Linked DNA regions of Cricetulus griseus. The protein of the gene in region 1 interacts with the protein of each later gene in a pairwise test. Links are inferred from orthologs where the notes say so. Each region holds a gene or a part of one and is shown on either strand. Other genes may lie near its edges. The genes, in order: Thap7, Mtus2, Ccndbp1 and Lurap1.

Region 1 (5,067 bases):
CTAGGGAGGAGTCTGGCACCCCCCAGCTGAGCCAAACAGCAAGGTCTCTTTCTAGCATCCACTTTATTGTGACTTCCGGTCAGCCTGGTGGATGTAGTTCCAATCAAATACCTCTGAGGAAGAGAGACCAGAGCCTTGGGTGTCCTCATGCCATGCTATTGCTCAGCTGCAAAGCGAAGTCCTGTACATGGTCCTTCAGGGTCTGGCGGGCATCTGCCTGTGCCCTCTTCTCTCGTGCCCGTTCCTGCTGCAGCTTGGTCAGTCGAAGTCTAAGCCGCTGTTCCCTACGTTTGCAGGCCTGCAGCTGGCGCTGGGCCTTGTCCAGAGCATCAAGAGCTGCTTCAGCTCTCCTCTTCCAGAGCAAGGCACTCCCCACTTGGTAGCTGTGCTCATTCTGGATGTAGGCTCCAGCAGGTGGTGGCAGCCGCAACATGTAAGCAGATGGGGAGATAGGCCGTGGCTCAAGAGGGGAGGGGTGCTGCTCTGGTGAAGGCTGGGCACTACAGCCTGCTTCCTCTGCTTGGGCACCTACCGGGCCCAGAAGATCTGAGAAGGGGCTGTTAAGGCCAGGTTCCAGCCTCACAGCTGGGGATGCAGGCAGAGTGGCAGGCGCTGAGGCTTCTTCCACAGGGAAGCAGATGATGTCAGCAGGAGGTGGAGAAAACAGGGTTGTGGGTCCTTGACCTTCAGAGCAGCTGGAGGGGAGACAGAAACTGACTAGCCAACTAAGAGCATGCCAGGACCCTCATACACCCACTTACACTCCCTAACACCTGAGCCCCTTCACTGGGTCCAGGCAGCAAGAACCCTGTTCAGTGAAGATGCTGGCACTCACCCTACAGTTCAGTCCCTCAGCCCTGGGGGGAGGGTGGGGCATCTCCCTCCTTCAGCACATACCGCTTCCTGCATCGCCGGAGCCGGCTGACATCAGGCAGGCCAGGTGGATAACCATGCCCCTTGGTCTTGGTTGTTCGACGTAACTTGGAGAAAGACTCAAATATGGTGGGGACTGCCCCTTCCTTCAGCCTGTGATACCCACTGTGGGGAAAAGCAGCCCAGATGAGGTGGAAATAAAGTGCTGCCACTTCCCCTGGTCCCAACATAGCTCCCCTCAGCACTAGGGCTATGGGCTTCATGGCACACTGCCAATAATCTGAAGAATGCCAAGTTTGGTAGAATCCAACTAGTCTGCCCTGTGAATGAGCATCCAGACTTGAAGTGAATGGACAACGCCTCCCCACCCCCGCACGGCTAGGTGGACTAGTCAGAAGTCTCTCATTTGTGGGCCTGCTGGAAGAACTAGGGGCCAAATACCCCAGAGAAAAGCTATTTTACTTTTGTGTGGATATCAGAGGCCTTCTTAAAATTATTCTCCACCTGTTTTTAAAGATTTCTTTTTTCTCCTTAAAAACATTTATGTGTATGGGTGCTTTGCCTGTACATATGACTATCCACATGCCTGGTACCCACAGAAGTCAGAAAGAGCACTAGATCCCTGGAACTAGAGTTTACTGGCTTGTGAGCCACCATGTGGATGATGGCAAATGAACCCAAGTCGTCTGGAAGAAACCAGTATCTTTTTTGTTTTTCAAGACATGGTCTCTCTGTGTAGCTTTGGAGCCTGTCCTGGAACTCACTCTGTAGACCAGGCTGGCCTCAAACTCACAGATCCGCCTGCCTCTGCCTCCAGAGTGCTGGGTTTAAAGGTGACACCAGTGACAGCTTGAAGCCTCTTAACCTCTGAGCCATCTCACCAGCCCTATTTATGAGTATGAATGTTTTGCCTACATGTACAATGTGTATGTACCACCTGTGTGCCAGGGCCCTTAGAAGTACGAAGAAGGCAAGGGATATCCCTTGGTGCTGGGAATTGAACCCTGGTTCTCTAGAAGAGTAACAAGTGCTCTACATTGTTAAGCCATCTCTCCAGCTCACCCACATTTTTTCTATCTATCTATCTATCTATCTATCTATCTATCTATCTATCTATCTATCTATGAATGACAGTGTCCCCTTGAACACAGGTCTCAACAACTCATCTAGACTAGCTAGCTGGCAGGAGCCCTGGTATCTTTTAGTTTTGTCTTCTCCAGACCTGGGAAAACTGTCTTCCCAGCCGGGAAAGGCTGTTATTCTCGGATGCTACTGGCATGGTAATCCTGGGGCCATGCTTTACTGCACACAACTGGGAAGAGGTCACAGCACCCTCGACATAGGTGTGCCTGTCTGTGAGCGTGCCAGCCAGCCGTTCATGGGCTTCACCAGGGCACAGAGCCGCCCCACTTGCCACACTCACTGCTCTGATGCCTCACCACCTGTTCAAGTGTCATCTGGCAGAAAAACCCACCTGATTCCCACCAGCTCAAAGCAGTTTTCCTCGAAGTGTTTGGAGCAGAAGTAGATGTACTCAGAGGCCGGGTCCCACAGGCCCTGGCCGCTGGGGTCCAGCCGCTGACAGTTGGCCAGCCACAAGCCGCGCCTGGGGTTGTCTTTCTTGGGAAGTCTGCAGAGCCACAAAACCGTGAGCACCAGACTGCTGCAGCCCGCGATCAGGATGCCCAAGCTCCCCAGGCAAGAGGGGCAGACCTCCCCGCGACCCTTTCGGATTACCACCCGCTAGGAGTAAACTGAGGACGAGAGAAGGAAGGAACAGGGCCTGCTTAGCATCACCTAGCAGCAAAGAGTTAGAGCTCCAAGTCCAAGGCAAGAAAGCGCCCAGTCCTTTTCGGCTGGATTCGGGACTCCTCGACCGCCCTTCACCCTCCCGCTCACAAAGTTCAAGCCTCACTTCGACCTCAGGAAGGCGCTGTCTCCTGCGCGGCCTAAAGTGCAGCAACACCAGCGCCTGCGCATGTGAGCCCTCGCGTGCCACTACGCACGCGCGCTGACCTGTGGAAGGAGATGCCGCGGTTGCGAGTCTCGCGCGTATCCCGTGTGCAGCAGCCGGCGGCGGAGCAGTGTCGCGGCATCTGGGGAAGGGGTGGGAGCTGGGTCGTGGGCGGCAGCCGGGGGGAGGGGACTGCCTTCACGCCCCGCCGCCACTCCCTCCAGAGGGCCTGAACCTGCCGGCTCCCCCGCGGCCCGACCTCGTCCCAATCCCGTCCTAACTCGTTCTATAGACTCCCGTCAGCGGTACTCACGGTCTTGCCATTGCTGCGCCGCCAAAGTCTCGCGATGGGTGGGTCAATGCGGAAGTTGGGAGCGTAGGGACTCCGTAGCGGGCTGCGACTGCCCTCAAGGGGCGGGACCGGAAGAGATCCTGGCGGGCCGGCCACCGGATGTTGGGAGTGCGGGCCGATCGTTGCCGCTGAGGTGCTTGAGATCCCCGGAGCGGCCGTGTCCTCGCTCCCTTGTTTTGTTTGTGTATCCAGGGTGACTACCGAGCGCTCGCCGTTAGGACTAAGCAGCCCCGGTGCGATCTGTAGTGCTCCCTGACACTCTGGTTGAAAGAAGATTCACCACCAAGAAAAATCTGGGCTCTTGCCTGAAAGAACCCCGCCAAGGGCCCTGGGTGACTCGGCACTTTCTGCCAACCCTGAGGATCCGAGTTTGATTTCCCTGCCCGCCATGGTTAGAAGGGAAGAACCAATGCCCACTAGTTGTCCTCTGACCCCCACATATCGCACGTGTGCATGCATGCGTATGCACAAGATAAAACGTAAAGACAAAAAAGAGTTCTTAAAGTAACGGAATTAACTGCGTCAGCAGAGGGACTGCAAACACGGCCAGGAGGGTCTGAGCCCACTGGGATTTTACCGCTGTCTCAGGAGAAACCTGGCACTCCCAGCTGGGCCAGGCAACAGGATCTCTTTCTAGCATCTACTTTGTGACATTAGCAGTCCTGGAGGGTCCATTTTAGATCAAGGTCTTTAAACCAGTGCTCAAAACTGAGTGCAATCTGGGGACATAAACATTTGCCAGCCGAGGAGGAAAGCTAATGTAGAAACCTAGGTTTCTACAGCTTGGGTGGAACCCCAGCTGCGTTCACACGCGGTGTGAGGGACTTCATTCTTCAATTTAAAACAATGTGTGTTGCCCCAATTGACTTATCTTGTTAGTAACTGAGCATATAGATATGCCTATTAATGTCTTAGAGAAAACAAATGTATTTGCTGCAGAGGAATTTAGTAGTTGGCCCTTCCAAGAAAGGCAGCTATCTAGACAGGGAACTTTGTTTTTTGTCTTGTTTTGTTTTTAAAGTACTGTATGAAGTAAAAGTAATGTTAACAGTAGGGGGGGAGATAAAGATATAACTGCCAGCCACATAGCTGCACTCAGTATTCCCCCCCCTCATTCTGCAGAATCCACAGCCATCTCTTAATAACCCTTCCCCGAGGCTGCCAGGTCCTCTGGACCTCAGAGAACACCCCTCCACACCTGCTGTCACATAGATGTGCGTAAAGGCCTCTCTGGCATGCATGAGGTTGAACTTGTGATTTAGGTGAGCCCAGGCCTCTTCAGTGGCAGTTGTTTTGCTGAGCATACACATGGCCTGCTGTTCCTTGGCCAGGTCTCCCCCAGGGACCATAAAGGGGGGCTGGTAGTTAATGCCTGCCTATCAGAAAAAAGGAAAATACAGTGGAGTTTATATTGGCCTTATAAATGACAGTTTGTTAAAAAGTTGAGAACTGTGGACCCACTTTGAACTGTAAAAGCTAGTATTATACTTTTGAAAATAACTAACATTTAACATTCTTTTAAAATTTCATGTTTCAGATTCACCCACACAGACACACACACAAAAAATTAAGGTTGTATGTGGGACAGGAGAGATGGCTCAGTGGTTAAGAGCACTGGCTGCTCTTCCAGAGGTCGAGATCCTGAGTTCAATTCCCAGCAACCACGTGGTGGCTCACAACCATCTGTAATGAGATCTGGTGCCCTCTTGGCCTACAGGCATATGTGCAGACAAAACACTATATATATAACAAATAAGTAAATCTTTTTTAAAAAAGGTTGTATGTGATTGAATCACTAATGTCAAAATAGAAATAGAGCCAGTGAAAGCATTACACACCCATACAGTCCAACATGTGAGAAGAGCAAGAACTCTATCCTAGCAAATAG
Region 2 (5,270 bases), about 12 Mb from region 1:
GATTTCAAGTTTGAAGCCTGAGCCACATGGTGAGACCGACCTCAACCAAACAAGGCTGTTTCTACAAAGCACTCTTGGAGGGAATGCTATGTCTTCCCAGGAAAATTCTTTGTTTTTCTGCTGAAACAAAGTCAGTGTCTGTGGATATACCGAAATCTCTACCTGACATGCATGAAAGCTAAGCTATGATCTTCTGGGAGCTTCCAGAAAGGCATTTGCTTTCCTGGGAAGAAGGTTGCTCATTGTTCACCAACCGGTCCTCACTGGCTGAGCCTAAGACTCTGAAATGGCATAAGGCAGCAATAGCTATGATGTGACAATTTTATAAATTAACTATGAAATTGTCCCTCACAAGCTCATGTGTTGAAATGCTTGAATACCAGCCTGGTGCAGTTTGGGGAGGTTGTGAATTGTTTTTAACTTCATTTTTTTTGTTTGTTTTTTTTTTGGGGGGGGGGCGTTGGTTTTGGTTTTGGTTTTTCCAGATAGGGTTTCTCTGTGGTTTTGGAGGCTGTTCTGGAACTCACTTTGTAGACCAGGCTGGCCTTGAACTCACAGAGATCCACTTGCCTCTGCCTCCTGAGTCCTGGGATTAAAGGTGTGTACCACCACTGCCCGAATTAACTTCATTTCTTTTTCTGAGAATTTCATATATGAGTACTGTATTTCCATCATTTTGACCTCCCTCTAACTTCTCCCATGTCCCCTCTCCCCCACTGACTATCAAATTCATGACCTTTTTTAATTATTAGACATACACACACAAACCCAATCCATTTAGTACTGTTCATATGTACATGTATTTAGTGTTGACCACTTGGAATTGGATAACCTATCAACCAGGACCTTGGAAGAGTGATTAGGCCCCCTTACCCACACCTTTAAAGTGAAAAAAAAAAAAAAAGATATAATAATCAGACTGGTCTAAGGTAGTTTGTCGTGGCAGCCTAAGCAGGTTAATACACAGCCATTCTGTAGAGAGGACAGGACATCACTTTCTTCATTCAGCTACCTTATATGAATGCAAGGGCTACCCAGAGAGATACAGAAAGAAAATGCCTGTCTGTATTGGTCTCAGACACATCTGCCATGTAATAGCAGACTGCCAATGACCTACAGACCTATAGACCTACAGTCCATCACAAATAAGAAGTTGTATAACCAGAAGGAAGTGGATTCTGCCAACAACCAGGAACACTGGAGGAGCTCCAAGCTCCATCTAAGAGCCAGCCTGGCTGATGGCCACATTATGGCCTGTGGAACAGGTCCAGCTAAGCCATGCCTGAACTCCACAACTGTGGGAACATAAGATAGCGAAGGGTTTTATGCCACAAAGTGTATGGTCACTAGATACATAGCAAGAAGGCTAACGCATACCTGCTGATGGATTTTCTGTATCCCAGGGTCAGAGAAGGAAGTAAGGCAGGTGACATTCATATGACTCTAAGCCAAGCACGCTCATTGACACCCAGGAGTCCCACTGGACCAGAGAAAAGAAAGACAAGTTATGATATGTGGAACCCTACCACCCTCAAACAAATTTTCTCTCAAGGTTTGATGGAGTAGAACCACAGCATAATTTGAGAAACACTATCAAGCCGACCAAAAATTGGCTTCACCCTCTGTCCTGGCTGTCAATTTGATACAACCTACACTCAACTGGAAAGAGGGAACATCAACTGAGGGACTGCCTGAATCAGATTGGTTGATTAAAGTGAGAGGGCCTAGCCCACTGTGGGTGGTACCATCCCTAGGCAGATGAATGAAGGATGCTATAGAAAGATAGCTAAACATAAACATGAGCCCGAGCCTGAGCCTGGGTCAGAGAGTGAGTCAGCAAGCAGCATTCCTCTCCAGAGTTTATTTGAGCACCTCCCTAGAGTTCCTGCCCTGACTTCACTTACTGACAGTTTGTAACCTGGAAGTGTAAGCCAAATAAATCCTTTCCTTCCCAAGATGATTTTGGCCAGTGTTTTATCACAGCAACGGAAAAGCAAGCCAGTACACCTTGCTATCTTGAAATCTCAGACATCCATCGGCAGGAGGTATCTCTATGCAATAATAAGTATCCTGGGATCATTCTTTTAAAACACGTATGCCTGAGCCCCACCCATGACCCTGCAGTCAAGTCTGTATTCTTATAAAAGACACTCATATCCGGGAACTAGCCACAGCAAAACATCAACCCAAATGCATTCCATAAAGTGAGGTGTCAGACACAGAAAAACAAACACTGCACACCCACTCATACATGTGGAAGCTAAAAACTCCAGGTCACTAGAACAGAAAGTAGAACGATTACCAAGGGACAGGAGTGAGCATCAGGGAAGGACAGGGACGGGGAGGGGGTGGTTGACAGGTACAGTTGCATAGAAGAACTCTGAACATTCAGGAACCCAACAGACACTATGGTTGACATTGGTAATTGAATATGCCAAAACAAAAAACAAAACAAAACAAAAAACCGGATCTGTTTCTGTTTCCATGCTGTGTTGCTGCCATGAGGACCAGCCTTCAGCAGCTCAGGATTTGAGGGGGAGCCATGAAATCGAGCAGACTAATCACACAATTGACTTTTCTATCTGAGGATGTAAAACTTAATTTTGGGGGGCTGGTCATTGGGGCAAACTTAACTCCCTGGGGCTGGCGAAAAAGGAAAACACACACACACACACAAACACACACACACACCCTTTAGAGTCTTTCTATCATATCTCTCTTTTATCTCTTTCTTTTCTTACCTCTATCCAGATGTATCCCTTCTGTGTATTCTTAATTTATATCCCTTACAGCTTATTTGCCCAGTCAGAATCTTTCAAGCAGTATAAAAATTACACTGTGGTGACATTCTATTTTTCAAGTGAACAACTGCAGTGAATACAAGAAAGAAAAAAAAAAAAAAAAAGCATGTTTCCCATTTCCCTTACACGATTATATCATGTATTACAGGTGAAAAACAAATTATCTCCAAAACCCCACACACATTCATGTCCAAGCAACTTCTTATAGATTAAGCATGCAAGATACTTTTCTCAGCCAGTTCTTTTGCTGGCAGGCTGCATTTTTTCAGTTACAAGGAAAAGATCGATTGCTTTATTATTTATCTTAAAAGCAAGAGCTACATCCCAGGAGCTCCCAGAATGACCTGCAGGCTCAGAGTCTCCTTCCACCAGCCTTTGTTACTTCTTAGATAACCTTGGGTAACAGCCTTGGGAATCTTGTAAGTTTCAGGAACTTCACAAGCCTTGTAAGTTTTGTTTACTTCCGGAGTCTGAAGTTGCCTCCCTCCTGACCAAATGTTTGAATTAGGAGGTTATTGGTGTACAACATCCCAATACAAAGACATGATGTCAAAGGTTGTGGGTATGCCATTCCCTTCATGTGACCATGCTGACCTATATGTCTATTAAATGTCATAATATGCACAATTATGTACCAATTATTGTTAAACATCACTTTAAACCCATTCTAGATACAATTGGAATTATGCAATCAAGTGCTCACATTTTCTGTTTATTTTAATCTCTGCACTAGAAAGAGCCCTTCTCCCCTTGAGGTCAGCCCGGATTCCCAGTCCTATCCTGAAGCCATCTCTGCCTCCATGTTCTCTATTGGAGGTTGTTGCCAGCTCTCAGGTCAATGTGCAACCTGTTCATTTTGTCCCAGTGCGGGCACCACGGACCTGCTGCCCTCCCCCTTCGGCTGTGCCCAGCTAATTAATACCTGCTGCTACCAGGCTCCAGGCACAGGTCAATCCCCTCTGCTCCATGTCTTTCTTAGGTTTCTCTTGCTCTTATAAAACCCCATGACCAAAAACAACTTGGGGAAGAAAGGGCTTATTTCAGTTTACACTCCATCAGAAAGGAAAGTCAAGGCAGGAACTAAAGCAGAGGCCACAGAGGAATGATGCTTACTGGCTTGCTCTCCAAGGCTTGCTGGACCAGGGATGACATCACCCGAAATCGGCTTGGCCCTCTCACATCCACCACTAATTAAGAAAACGTAGCTGAAACTTGCCTACTGGCCCTTCCCATGGAAATATTTTCTCATGGAAGTTTCTTCTTTCCAGACTCTGGAGATCTGAAAGGGGACGTGACCTGGAGAAAGGGGAGGTGACCTGGAGAAGCTCTCTGAGACTCAGTTTACCTCTGACAGCTCTACCCTCCCCTGACAAGATGGGGATGTGAAAGACTGCCAAGCATGCCAGAGTATCAATGATGCCTCACTCCACCTGGTGTCACTTGGTCAGGCCTTGGCATTCCCAGCTGTGACCTCTGCTCCCACTACCCTCAACACATACCCGTACACCTCCCTCAGTGCACATGAGTTCCTAGTAACACTTGCTTCAGACATACCTGACTAGTTCGTGCCGAGCCATCGCTCCAGCTCACTAATTTACATCTTGATGGACCTTTGGCTATTCTACTCATCTTTCTTAGTGCAGTGAGATAAATATTTGAAATACAAAAGATGGCATGTATTGACTTTTCAGATTATGAGACCACTCCACAGAGAACATGTTTTCTGTCAGTGATTTAAGGGAGGAGAGGCGCCTAGCATTTTATTTTTGAAAGTGGAGCACTTTCCAGTTAAAATTGCCATTCTAGCAGGGCATTGGTGGCGCATGCCTTTAATCCCAGCACTCGGGAGGCAGAAGCAGGAGGATTTCTGTGAGTTCGAGGCCAGCCTGGTCTCCAGAGCGAGTGCCAGGATAGGCTCCAAAGCTACACAGAGAAACCCTGTCTCGAGAAATAAAAAAATAAAAAATGAAATAAATAAAATAAAAAATAAAATAAAACTGCTATTCTAACCACAGATTATATATGACGTATATAATTCCTTTTGGTCTATTAAAAAAAAAAAAAAAAGGACTGGTCAGGGATACAGCTATGGCTCAGTGGTTAAGAGCACTGGCTGCTCTTGCAGAGGACCTGGGTTTGCTTCCCAGCAACCAAATGGCAGCTCACCACCATCTGTAACTCCAGGTCTAAGGGATATGATGCCCTCTTCTGGCCTCTTCTGGCATTGCATGCATGTGGTGTACAGACATACATTCAGGCAAGCCTTCATACACAATTTAAAACAAAAACAAACAAACAAACAAACAAACAAACAAAAAACTAAAATTACCAGTCATCTTATCGTTTGTCTTTTACAGTTCCCACCTCCATTTCATGTACCTTCCTAATAACGGTGCAAGGAAGAGGATAACTGACAACCGGAACTGAGTCCCTGCTCACCCAGGTCCAACACAGCTGCTGAAGGATGCA
Region 3 (5,016 bases), on another chromosome or scaffold:
CCTAAAATATTCAGCACCTGGTCTTTTGTTGAATACAGCCCAACTACTGAATCAGGCAATTACTACGTCTTTGCTTGCTGTCATACAATTTATCTTTTTTTCTTACTGCCAAATTGCTCAAGACTGTGGTTCTTCTTAATGCTGTGACCCTTTAATACAGTTTCTTATGTTGTGGTAGCCCCAACCATAAAAATATTTTCATTGCTAATGTTATGAATTATAATGTAAATATTTGATATGCTAGATATCTGCTATTATGACGCCTGTTGTCTCACCGTAACAAAAGGGTCGTGACCCACAATTTGAAAACCATTGTTTTAAGATACACAGGGGACAGGCAGTAGTGGCACACACCTTTAATCCCAGTACCAGCACTCAGGAGGCAGAGGCAGAGGCAGAGGCAGAGGCAGATGGATCTCTGAGATCTAGACCAGTCCGGTCTATACAGCTAGTTCCAGGATGGCCAGAGCTACACAAAGAAACCCTATCTCAAAAAACCAAAAAGAGCCAGGCGTCGGTGGCTCATGCCTTTAATCCCAGCACTAGGGAGGCAGAGGCAGGTGGATCTCTGTGAGTTCGAGGCCAGCCTGGTCTACAGAGCAAGTGCCAGGATAGGTTCCAAAGCTACACAGAGAAACCCTGTCTGGAAAAACAAACAAACAAAAAAAAAAAAAAAAACACAACAAAAAGTACAGGAAAGAGGGGTATGTATTTTTATAATTTTATGTTGTAAAAGGAACTTTCTATCACATTAAGACATTCATACTAGGTGGTGGCGCACACCTTTAATACCAGCACTCAGGAGGCAGAGGCAGACAGATCTCCAAGTTCAAAGCCAGCCTGATCTACAGAGTGAGTTCCAGAACAGCCAGAGCTCCACAGAGAAACCATGTCTCTAGAAAACCAATAAAACCAAAAGAAAACATTCATGCATGTGTAGCTCAGTAGTAGAGTATTTGTATAGTTATATGTGAGTGAAAAAATAAACAAAAATACAACATCTGGATACATAGTTATTGAAACTACTATGAAAATTGAGGCAACGACTATGTCGTCATAAAATAACCTACTCTTTGGGCTGGAGAGATGGCTCAGAGGTTAAGAGCATTGGCTGCTCTTATAGAGGACCCAGATTCAGTTCCCAGCACCCACATGGAAGCTCACAACCATCCTTAACTCTAGTTCCAGAGAATCCAGTGCCCTCTTCTGGCCTCCATGGATAGATACTAAGCACAGAATTCATATGCACATACATGCAAGCAAAATACTCATAGACATGAAATAAACATTTAACAAAAAAATAAACTACTCTGAAGTACATGTAGCTCTAGAAAAATATGGCACAGGGCATTCACATGTTGGTTGATCACAGCCAATATCCAGCTTTACTTTTGGTTACATAATAAACGATTATTTAAAATGCATTAATTCTTTGTTCCTGTAAGTTCACCTCTGGAATTTTTTTCTATTAATACATATATGTATGCAAAGATTATAACTGACAATTCACTACAGTGCCATTTACAATAGTTGCAAGTTAGAAACAGTTTAAAATGTCCACCTGGGCTATTGTTTATAGCTATAGTTACTCTACATCAAGTATTACAAAGAACTAAGCAACTTTTTTATGTGTCATTAAGAATCAACTTCTAGCTGGATGGTGGTGGCCCATGCCTTTAACTCCAGCACTCATGAGGCAGAGGCAGGCGGATCTCTGTGAGTTTGAGGCCAGCCTGGTCTACAAGAGTTAGTTCCAGTCTCCAAAGCCACAGAGAAACCCTGTCTCGAAAAACCAAAAAAAAAAAAAAAAAAAAAAAAAAAAAGTCAACTTCTAAGCTATATTACTTTTTAAAAGGTCTAGAACAATGCTTATAGTATCTAACCACTGTGTAAAAAGAAGCACACACAGAGCGATGTATATATACATAGAACAAATTGTATGGAGTAATACAGAAGGAAATGGGAACGAAATAGAAAGATAAACTGGGGTGGGAAGATATATACATGTATTTTAGTGTACTCTGGTATCTTTTGAACTTTATCCACATATTAGTAATTAAATAAAAAGGTAAACAGTTTAATACTAAAGGGTATTGTGCAATAGCTGTTGCTTAGATACTTTGTAGGCTTTTAACTCCACCTCCACCATTTATTAATCTTGATCCAAGTCTCTAAACTTACTAGCTCATCTGTCAGATGGGGAGTATGTATGAGAAACAGCTATAAATCAAAAAGAGCTTTTAAAATTCCGAGGAACTAACCTGACTGAATTTGAAAGACCTTTCTACCGTTTGCACTTGGCTATTTGGTCCTCACAACAATCCTATGCGGTAAGAACTATAATCTCATTAAATAAATGAAGAAAATAAACGTGGCTTGAGGGTAAAGGGTGACAAGAAAACTAGAGGCAGCACACAAATCCCAGGAAGTAAAGCTCACCCGTGGAGACGGCAGTGGAAGTCGGGAGAAAAGTGTGGTCAGAATCGTGGCTTCCCCTGACAGGTTCACTGCTGCCTCATCTGGGGGTGGTAGAGGCGGCGGATACCAAAGTTAGTGTTAAAGGTGGAAGCTGCAACCACTACACGGATTTTTTAAGATAACGCATCCCTTCTCCACCCTTATCATCATAAACAACTCCAAAACAACTCCAGAAATCGTCCCGAGGCCGGGAGGGATTGTCACCTCCTCTTGGGACAACAGAGGGGAAAGAGGTTAGGAGGCAGGAGTGAGGAGGGAAGAGTCTGCAACGGCAGAGAAACTCACTAAGTCTTCTCCAGAACATCTCTCGATTAAATTCCTCGGCTGTCTCCTGGGCTTCGCCGACTTGAGGGTGTAGCGTGGGAGGCCGGACCACCAAAGCAAAAGACAGGTGAGCAAAAGACACGTCACCTGACGTGACGCCCGACCGCCGCCCTACCCGGAGCCCCGGGCCTCAGATTCCCACAACTCACCCCTCACTAGAGGCAGAAGTGACCGCAGCTCCGCTGCCAGGTGCCGGAGCTGCTCCAGAGTCGGAGCAAGGAAGGAGGCTGCGGCTGCCGAACTCGCCATCACAGCGTCTCACAGCGTACCTTAGCTAGGACGCTTAAGCCGTTCGGCCCCTGCCGCTGTATTTCCGGTGCCGAAAACACCTCTCGCTTCCGGCAAGACACATCACGCCCCGCCCCTTCCTCCTCAGTGACGCGACCCCGCCTTCCCGGACAGCCAGGCCGTCAGGCCACGCCTCCCTCCGCCTACAGACCCGCCTACTCTTGCCCGATCCACTTAGAGATCAGGCCACGCCTCCCTTTCCTAGAGACCCGCCCACAGCTCCCCTGCGGGGCCTAGAGACTCAGACACTCCTCCTTCACCAGGCTGCCGGTTCCCAGCAGGCCTACAGACTGGGACTCGGGTCCAGGCGCCCGGCCCTGCCCCTCTCCCCCACCCCACCTTGACACCCTGCCACACCTGCCACGCCTTCTAAAGACCCAGCCATGCGTTCTCTGACCTACTAGAGACCTGACCACTTTTTTTTTTTTTTTTTTTTTGCCATTTTATGTGTCTTGAGTTTTTTGCTGGCAAGTCTGCCTGTGACATCCCCGTTGTGACTCTTTCTCCAAGCCCCAGACACCATGGTTCCAATGTTTAGCTACAGTACAGATCCGTGTGGTATTTCTTTTTAGTTTTTTAAAAAATTTTTATATGCATTGGTGTTTTGTCTGAATGTATGTCTGTGTGAGGGTGTCAGATTCCCTAGAACTGGAGTTATAGAAAGCTGCCATGTGGGTGCTGGATATTGAACCAGGGTCCTCTGGGAGAGCAGCCAATGCTCTTAATCAGTGAATCATCTCTCCAGCCCCGATCTTTCTTTTAATATTTATATTCTATTATGCTATGTATAAGTCTGTGCACACATGAATGCAAAGGACCCACAGAGGCTCTAACCTGGAGCCACCTGACATAGTTGCTGGAAATTGAACTCAGGAAGTACATGTTTTTTTTTTTGTTTTTTTTTGTTTTTTTTTTTAGTTTTTCGAGGCAGGGTTTCTCTGTGGCTTTGGAGGCTGTTGTGGAACTAGCTCTTGTAGACCAGGCGGGTGTCGAACTCACAGAGATCCTCCTGCCTCTGCCTCCCAAGTGCTGGGACTAAACGTGTGTGCCACCACTGCCCAGCGTGAAGTACATGCTCTTAACTACCATGCTATTTTTCCAGCCCAACATTCGTGATATTTATCATTCATTCATTTATTTGATTAGTTAAAAACGGCCCCAACTAAGGAAGCAGAAAACCCATAATCCGTGGGAAAACAGGCTGGGAAGTAATGTTTCTAGAGTGGTCAAGGTCCAGCCCAAGTCTCCACAGGTTCCCTAGGCATAAAATGGCACTCTGGACACCTTCTGGATTCCGGGCTTGGGCTGGATGCTTTTCACAGGATGACCCTAACAAACACAGTAGTTCTGAGGTACTTGAGTAACAGAGACTCCCACCTTTGGAATCTCTGTGATCAGGGCTCTTTGCCTCCTGAGGAAGAAAGAATCGGTTGTTAGATTCTGCAGTCCACACTGCAGGAATCAGTAGTTAACACTTCCAACATACAGATGTTCAGGGAGGGACAGCTTCCTGAAGCCCACCTGCTGACATGCTGACATTGGCTTTCCATCTGCCACAGGCGCAGAGATCTGGCTACAAATGTGGAGGCTGAACTTCTGCCATGCTGCCAGCTGTAAGCCATGGACTTCAGGAGCTTAGATGGCTTTTTAACTGCACCATGAATGTTCCAAGTTCAGTGGAGTTCAATGTCCACACACAACGAATGAGTACAGGTGTCAGCAATGTCAACCAGGTCCGCATTGGGGAGAATAAAAAGGCTAGGGTGCCGTAAGTCACATGAAGAAAGTAGCAAGAATAAATCTGCCATATGTACAATGGAAGCATAAGCAGATAAACAGGTATAATATTCAAGTGTTTTCCTTGGTAGAGATGAGACCTGAAGCTATGACCAAAGCACCGCTGCAGCAAGCTCCAACATAGGTAAG
Region 4 (4,996 bases), on another chromosome or scaffold:
TTCCCCATATGTAGATCAGATTCTGCCCAGCCCAGGTGTCCTAGACAGGGCTCCCTCTTTGCTCAACCCAAATCAGGCTCAGGTTAAGCCTGAAGACCAGGAGGAGGGATGGGGGTGAGGGGAGGGAGAGGGAGAAGGGACTTACATGTGAAACAAGCTTGTTCCCTAACTAGAACTAATAAAAAAAACTGTATATATAGACAAACACTTGTCTATATATACACAAACAGGAAGAAAAAAAAAAAAAGCCTGAAGACCAGTTTCTAGATCCCTGGTAACTGACTGTTGGGATTAACTATTGTCACTAAATTAACAGTTGTCTAGTTCCACGATCATGCCCTCATTTCCTCCATCAAAGGACAAAAAAACTCTAAGGGCAAGGAAGAGACAGGACCCTCCTTAAGTCCACAAAATACATCAGGAGACAAAATTTGAACTCATGCCTTTCCCCCATTCCTTGCCTATTGTGCTCCCATAAACTGCTCTGTGGAGGTGGCTGCTCATAGCAACAGCTCTTTGGGTGGACGCTGCCACTGCCATCCCCACACATCTCAGAGTCTGGCTTGTCGCTCAACTTCAGACTAGGGAAACAAAGCAAGAGCAGAAAGCCAAAAACCCGGTTGACCTTGGCCTGGAGGGCCAGCCTCCCCTTCTGCAGGAGGAAAGTAGAGAGGGACAACTGAAGGACAATCCTTAGAGAGTCAGTTCTGCCTTCGAGGACTCCAATCTCCTGCCCTGCCCTTCTGTGTCAGTAAACCAGCAGTTAGAGCAGAGTACAAGAAGAAATCAATGCTATCTTGGCCTGAGGAGGGAGGAAGGAGCCTGACATGGATCTTCTCCTTCTTCTGGTCTCCAAAACACTGTTTGTGGGAAGCTTCAGACCCCAGGTCAGACAGGCCAAAAGTTAAAGAGTTAAAACCAGAAGCTAAATTTACTCCCCTAAAGTTTATAAGGAACAAGAGTCAGAGGTTAGGCCTGCCTCCAGATTTCCTGTATGAGAAGCAAGCCCACAGACATTTGAAACGTATTTCAATGACATGAGATGTCCTTAAAGTGTCTGCCACAAAGCATGTTTTCATGATCAGTGTGGTCAAATAATCTGGGCTCAAATCCTGACTTCACTTTTTGAGTGACTGTGGGCAGCTGCTTAAGTTCCTGTATAACATTAGCTACCTGAGTGTGAAGGGGACAGCATGTAGGAGCAGTGGTACAGCTCAACTGCAGAGCATTCACCTTGTGTGTGCAGAGCCCTAGGTTCAGTACAAGGGAGAAAAAAATGGCACTGGAGAGATAGCTTAACAGTCACGAGCACTTGTTCTTGCAGAGGATCCAGGTTAGGTTCCCAGCACCCACACAGTGGCTCACAACCACCCACAACTCCAGTTGCAAGCAATCTGATGCTCTCTCTAACCCCCGGGCAACAGGCATGCATGTGGTACAGACACATTCACACAGGCAAAATGTTCCCACACAAAGATTCCTAAAATTCTTTGTTTTTTATTTTATTTATTTTTGGTTTTTGGAGGCAGGGTTTTCTCTGTAGCTTTGGAGGCTGTCCTGAAACTTGCTCTGTAGACCAGGCTGGCCTGGAACTCAGAGATCCGCCTGTCTCTGCCTCCCGAGTACTAGGAATAAAGGTGTGTGTCACCAACGCCTGGCTCGGCTTAAAATTCTTAAAAAAGAAAAATATCATGTATCATGCTGGACATTGATACATGCCTTATATTCCCAGTATACTTTAGTTTCCAGCTGGGTATGGTGGCACATGCTCATAGTCCCAGTACTCAAGGGGCTGAGACAAGAGGAATATGTGTTGGGGGGCCAGCCTGAGCTACATAGTGAACCCATATCTCAAAATGCCAAAACAAAACAACTTAATTTGCAAAGGATAAACTAGGTAGGCTCTATGTCTTGAGCAGTTTGTACATGAGGCAAACAAGGCTTCTTTCAGAGGTGAATACAGTCACAGGCCTGCTCTGGAGAATTTGGCATTCAACTACAACCTCCAAGGCCAAACACACACTTGACATTCATATCCTGTCCCCAGGGATCAGATGAATACTCTCTGACCACTCATCCCAGGAGGCTTCTTAGCCTAAAATGAGAGCCCTGGGCTGGCTTGGAGGTCCCATGTCCTTCCTTCCACCCTTCCTGATCTGCTTGACATAATGCAGAGCACACAGTGGGGCCCCAAGAAGACTTATTAACTGGCTCAGTCACTGTGGGCTTCTGGTTCTTAGCCCATGAGTAGCTGGCAATTCCTCAGTTCTCCAGAACTGGCTGCAAAGTGGTGGCAGGTGTAATTCATCTGTTTCACCGGAACCAGGGCCCTGGGGGAGCCGCTGGGGCCCATCTGCCCTTTTTGGCTCAGAATCTAGACCAACAGCTCCAGGGAAGGCTAGGTGATACTGTTTCCTTCCCTTGTCCCCAAGAAGGTACAGGTGAGACCCTGGGAGTCTGAAAGGAGACTGAATTCCAGGTGAAGAGCCAACTGTGTCACTACTGTCTCTGTTAAGGTCTTAGAATATTTAATACCACGATGGTGGGATGCTTAGGGAAAAGGACGTTTTTAGTGTGCCCCTAATGCAGGCAGTTTCAGCAAGTATTAATTACCTCATCAAATCTTTTTTGCCTGATTTGAACACCTTGGGGCCTTAGGAAAGAAACCTTTCCCCAGTTTGTTGGAGGAGTGGGTAAAGAAAACAGTTGCCTTATAATGGGGTATGAGGAAATTGGTGGCCTTGGATGCCGATGGTAAGAATTTGCGCTGAACTAAGTTTTTTGTACCGCTTAGCCCTCGCCTCCCTCCTCCCGATTATTGGGCAGGGGAAAGTTCCAAGAGCTGTGCCTACTGCTCCCAGTTCTCAGGATCTACCAACCCTTCACTCACCCTTGGGAGTGAGAGGTCATGAAGTAATGAGACGTCACTTCTCTCCACTTTCAACCCCGGGTTTATGGATTGATCTAGGAGGGACCCTCCTCGGCAGCCTAACTCCTGGAACCTGCGCCTTTCCCTACAAACGACCTTATGCTGAGGACCCCGTGCCCGTGGCCTGTAGCACCCACGCTCACCAGCTCCATCCTCAGCTCCATGATCTTGTCCCCCAGGCCGTGGCCGGTGCTGGGTGCCGCTGGGAGCAGTAGGTCCCCAGAGGATCCCAGCTCCCACTCGCCTCGAAGCCCGCGGAGCAGCCCTTCGGGGGTCTTCCTGCCCACCTTGCCCTCCACATCTCGCAAGTCAGGCGTCTGGGACTCCGCAGTCCCCTCCATGTGGGCCCAAGCCAAAACAGGGCTGGGCGACCAGACGCGGAGGTCCAGGTCCCTAGGGTCCTCCCTTCTCCGCTGCGAACACGGAGCCGGAGCGAAACCGGTGGGTCCCCGCCTGCGCGGCGCTTGGGGGCAGGAGGAGGGCGCCGTAACGCTCAGAAAAGCCGCGCAGTTGGGTAGAGAAAGATACCGAGTGTTGCGCACACAACTTCTAGCCTCGGATGGCATGCGACTGAATTTGGAACTGAAGACCTCAATGGGTGCTCAGTGCTTTCTCCCTTTGTTGACGCCAGCTAAACGCACAACAGGCAGCTAATACATATTTGCTAAACAAAAAGACAACTTCAGTACGCACTAACACGACTGCAGAGAGTTTGGAAGTCTTTCTGCTAAAAGCTGTGTCTGTTACAGATACTAGAATATAGCTGCTCAGCTCACAGATACCTCCCAGCACCTAGAAATCAGACTGAAGATGTAATAGGAGGTCAATCAATCCCTCTGGCCAGTGAGAAAAAAAAAAACATTAAAATTGAAGGAATCCACAGGGTCTTGATCTTAGGCTTACAAAAGAAGTGCTTCCTCAACCTAAATATGGTTCATCTGAAAACCTTGTGAAGTTAGGGCATTGCCTTTTGTGGGGGGTTGTGGGGTCCCCACAGAGGGTCTCACTGTGTGGTTCTGTCTGGCCTGGAACCTGCTTTGTAAAGTGGGCTGGCTGGCTTTGAAACTCACAGAGATCCACCTGCCACTTCCTCAACAGTACAAGGATTAAAGTCCTTTCAAAAGATTTATTTTCTATTTTAATTACCTGTTCATGTTCAGGTGAGTTGAGGGTTTGTACACATAAGTTCAGGTGCCTGGAGGCCACAGAAGAGCATCAGGTCCCTGGAAGCTGGATTTAACAGTTCTGAGCTGTGCTGGGTACTGAACCCAGGTTCTCTGTGAGAGCAGTGTGTGTCATTATTGCGTGCTGAGCCATCTCCAGCCCTGGGAGTCTGCACTCCTAAGAAGCTACAGGGGTGGCCATGCTTCTGGTCTGTGGACACAGTAACAATATATTTCTAAGCATTTGGACTTAATTCTACTTCCAGTTCACTATTACAGAAAGATTTACAATGAGAAAGTACCTCTTCCCTCTACTCTTTCACACCTCTGGGCTCACTTCCCAAAGGCAACCTACTTTCAGCTTGTTATTGTTCTGTAGTTTGTTTTTGTTTTATTTATTAATTTGCTCTCTCTCTCTCTATCTATCTATCTATCTATATATATATATATATTAATTTACTACATGTATGTGTCTCTGTATGGAAATATTCACATAAGTACAGGTTCCCCCAGAGGTCAGAAGAGGGCCTTGGATCCCCTGGAGTTAGAGTTACTGGCAATTGTGAGCCGTCTGATACAGGTGTTGGGAACTGAACTCAGGTCCTACTGTAAGAGCAATATGTGCTCTATAACTGCCAAGCCATCTCTCCAATCCAACCATCCAAATCTTCTACCACTCATTCTAAATTTATTTTTTATTATTATTCTGGGTTTTTTTCAGTTTTACTTTATGTGCATTAGTGTTTTGTGTTGTTGGGAGTTTTGGGTTTTTTTTGTTTGTTTGTATGTTTTGTTTTTCAAGACAGGTTTTCTCTGTGTAGCTTTGGAGCCTATCCTGGCACTGGCTCTGTAGACCAGGCTGGCCTCGAACTCACAGAGATCTGCCTGCCTCTGCCTCCCGAGT

Evidence for each region.
Region 2: the proteins of Thap7 (region 1) and Mtus2 interact in binary tests that used the Homo sapiens proteins (3 or more experiments, as listed by UniProt). The two-hybrid records come from large-scale screens. The link is inferred for Cricetulus griseus from reciprocal best matches to the Homo sapiens genes THAP7 and MTUS2.
Region 3: the proteins of Thap7 (region 1) and Ccndbp1 interact in binary tests that used the Homo sapiens proteins (3 or more experiments, as listed by UniProt). The two-hybrid records come from large-scale screens. The link is inferred for Cricetulus griseus from reciprocal best matches to the Homo sapiens genes THAP7 and CCNDBP1.
Region 4: the proteins of Thap7 (region 1) and Lurap1 interact in a two-hybrid assay, tested with the Homo sapiens proteins (2 studies listed by BioGRID and IntAct). The two-hybrid records come from large-scale screens. The link is inferred for Cricetulus griseus from reciprocal best matches to the Homo sapiens genes THAP7 and LURAP1.

The regions. Positions count from the first base shown.
Region 1 is NC_048597.1:71,783,971-71,789,037, reverse strand, and holds the start of Thap7 (THAP domain-containing protein 7), read right to left. Parts: upstream 3,114-5,067; intron 2,970-3,113; coding exon 2,890-2,969; exon of another isoform or gene 2,854-2,889; coding exon of another isoform or gene 2,789-2,853; intron 2,504-2,788; coding exon 2,348-2,503; intron 1,039-2,347; coding exon 898-1,038; intron 696-897; coding exon 146-695; 3' UTR 1-145. UniProt on the Homo sapiens protein: Chromatin-associated, histone tail-binding protein that represses transcription via recruitment of HDAC3 and nuclear hormone receptor corepressors.
Region 2 is NC_048597.1:83,799,795-83,805,064, reverse strand, and holds the start of Mtus2 (microtubule-associated tumor suppressor candidate 2), read right to left. Parts: upstream 3,111-5,270; 5' UTR 2,742-3,110; intron 1,481-2,741; 5' UTR 1,378-1,480; intron 1-1,377. UniProt on the Homo sapiens protein: Binds microtubules. Together with MAPRE1 may target the microtubule depolymerase KIF2C to the plus-end of microtubules. May regulate the dynamics of microtubules at their growing distal tip.
Region 3 is NC_048599.1:57,429,527-57,434,542, forward strand, and holds the start of Ccndbp1 (cyclin-D1-binding protein 1), read right to left. Parts: upstream 3,140-5,016; 5' UTR 3,052-3,139; coding exon 2,952-3,051; intron 2,824-2,951; coding exon 2,764-2,823; intron 2,520-2,763; coding exon 2,440-2,519; intron 1-2,439. UniProt on the Homo sapiens protein: May negatively regulate cell cycle progression. May act at least in part via inhibition of the cyclin-D1/CDK4 complex, thereby preventing phosphorylation of RB1 and blocking E2F-dependent transcription.
Region 4 is NC_048595.1:36,197,208-36,202,203, reverse strand, and holds the start of Lurap1 (leucine rich adaptor protein 1), read right to left. Parts: upstream 3,521-4,996; 5' UTR 3,496-3,520; coding exon 3,073-3,495; intron 1-3,072. UniProt on the Homo sapiens protein: Acts as an activator of the canonical NF-kappa-B pathway and drive the production of pro-inflammatory cytokines. Promotes the antigen (Ag)-presenting and priming function of dendritic cells via the canonical NF-kappa-B pathway.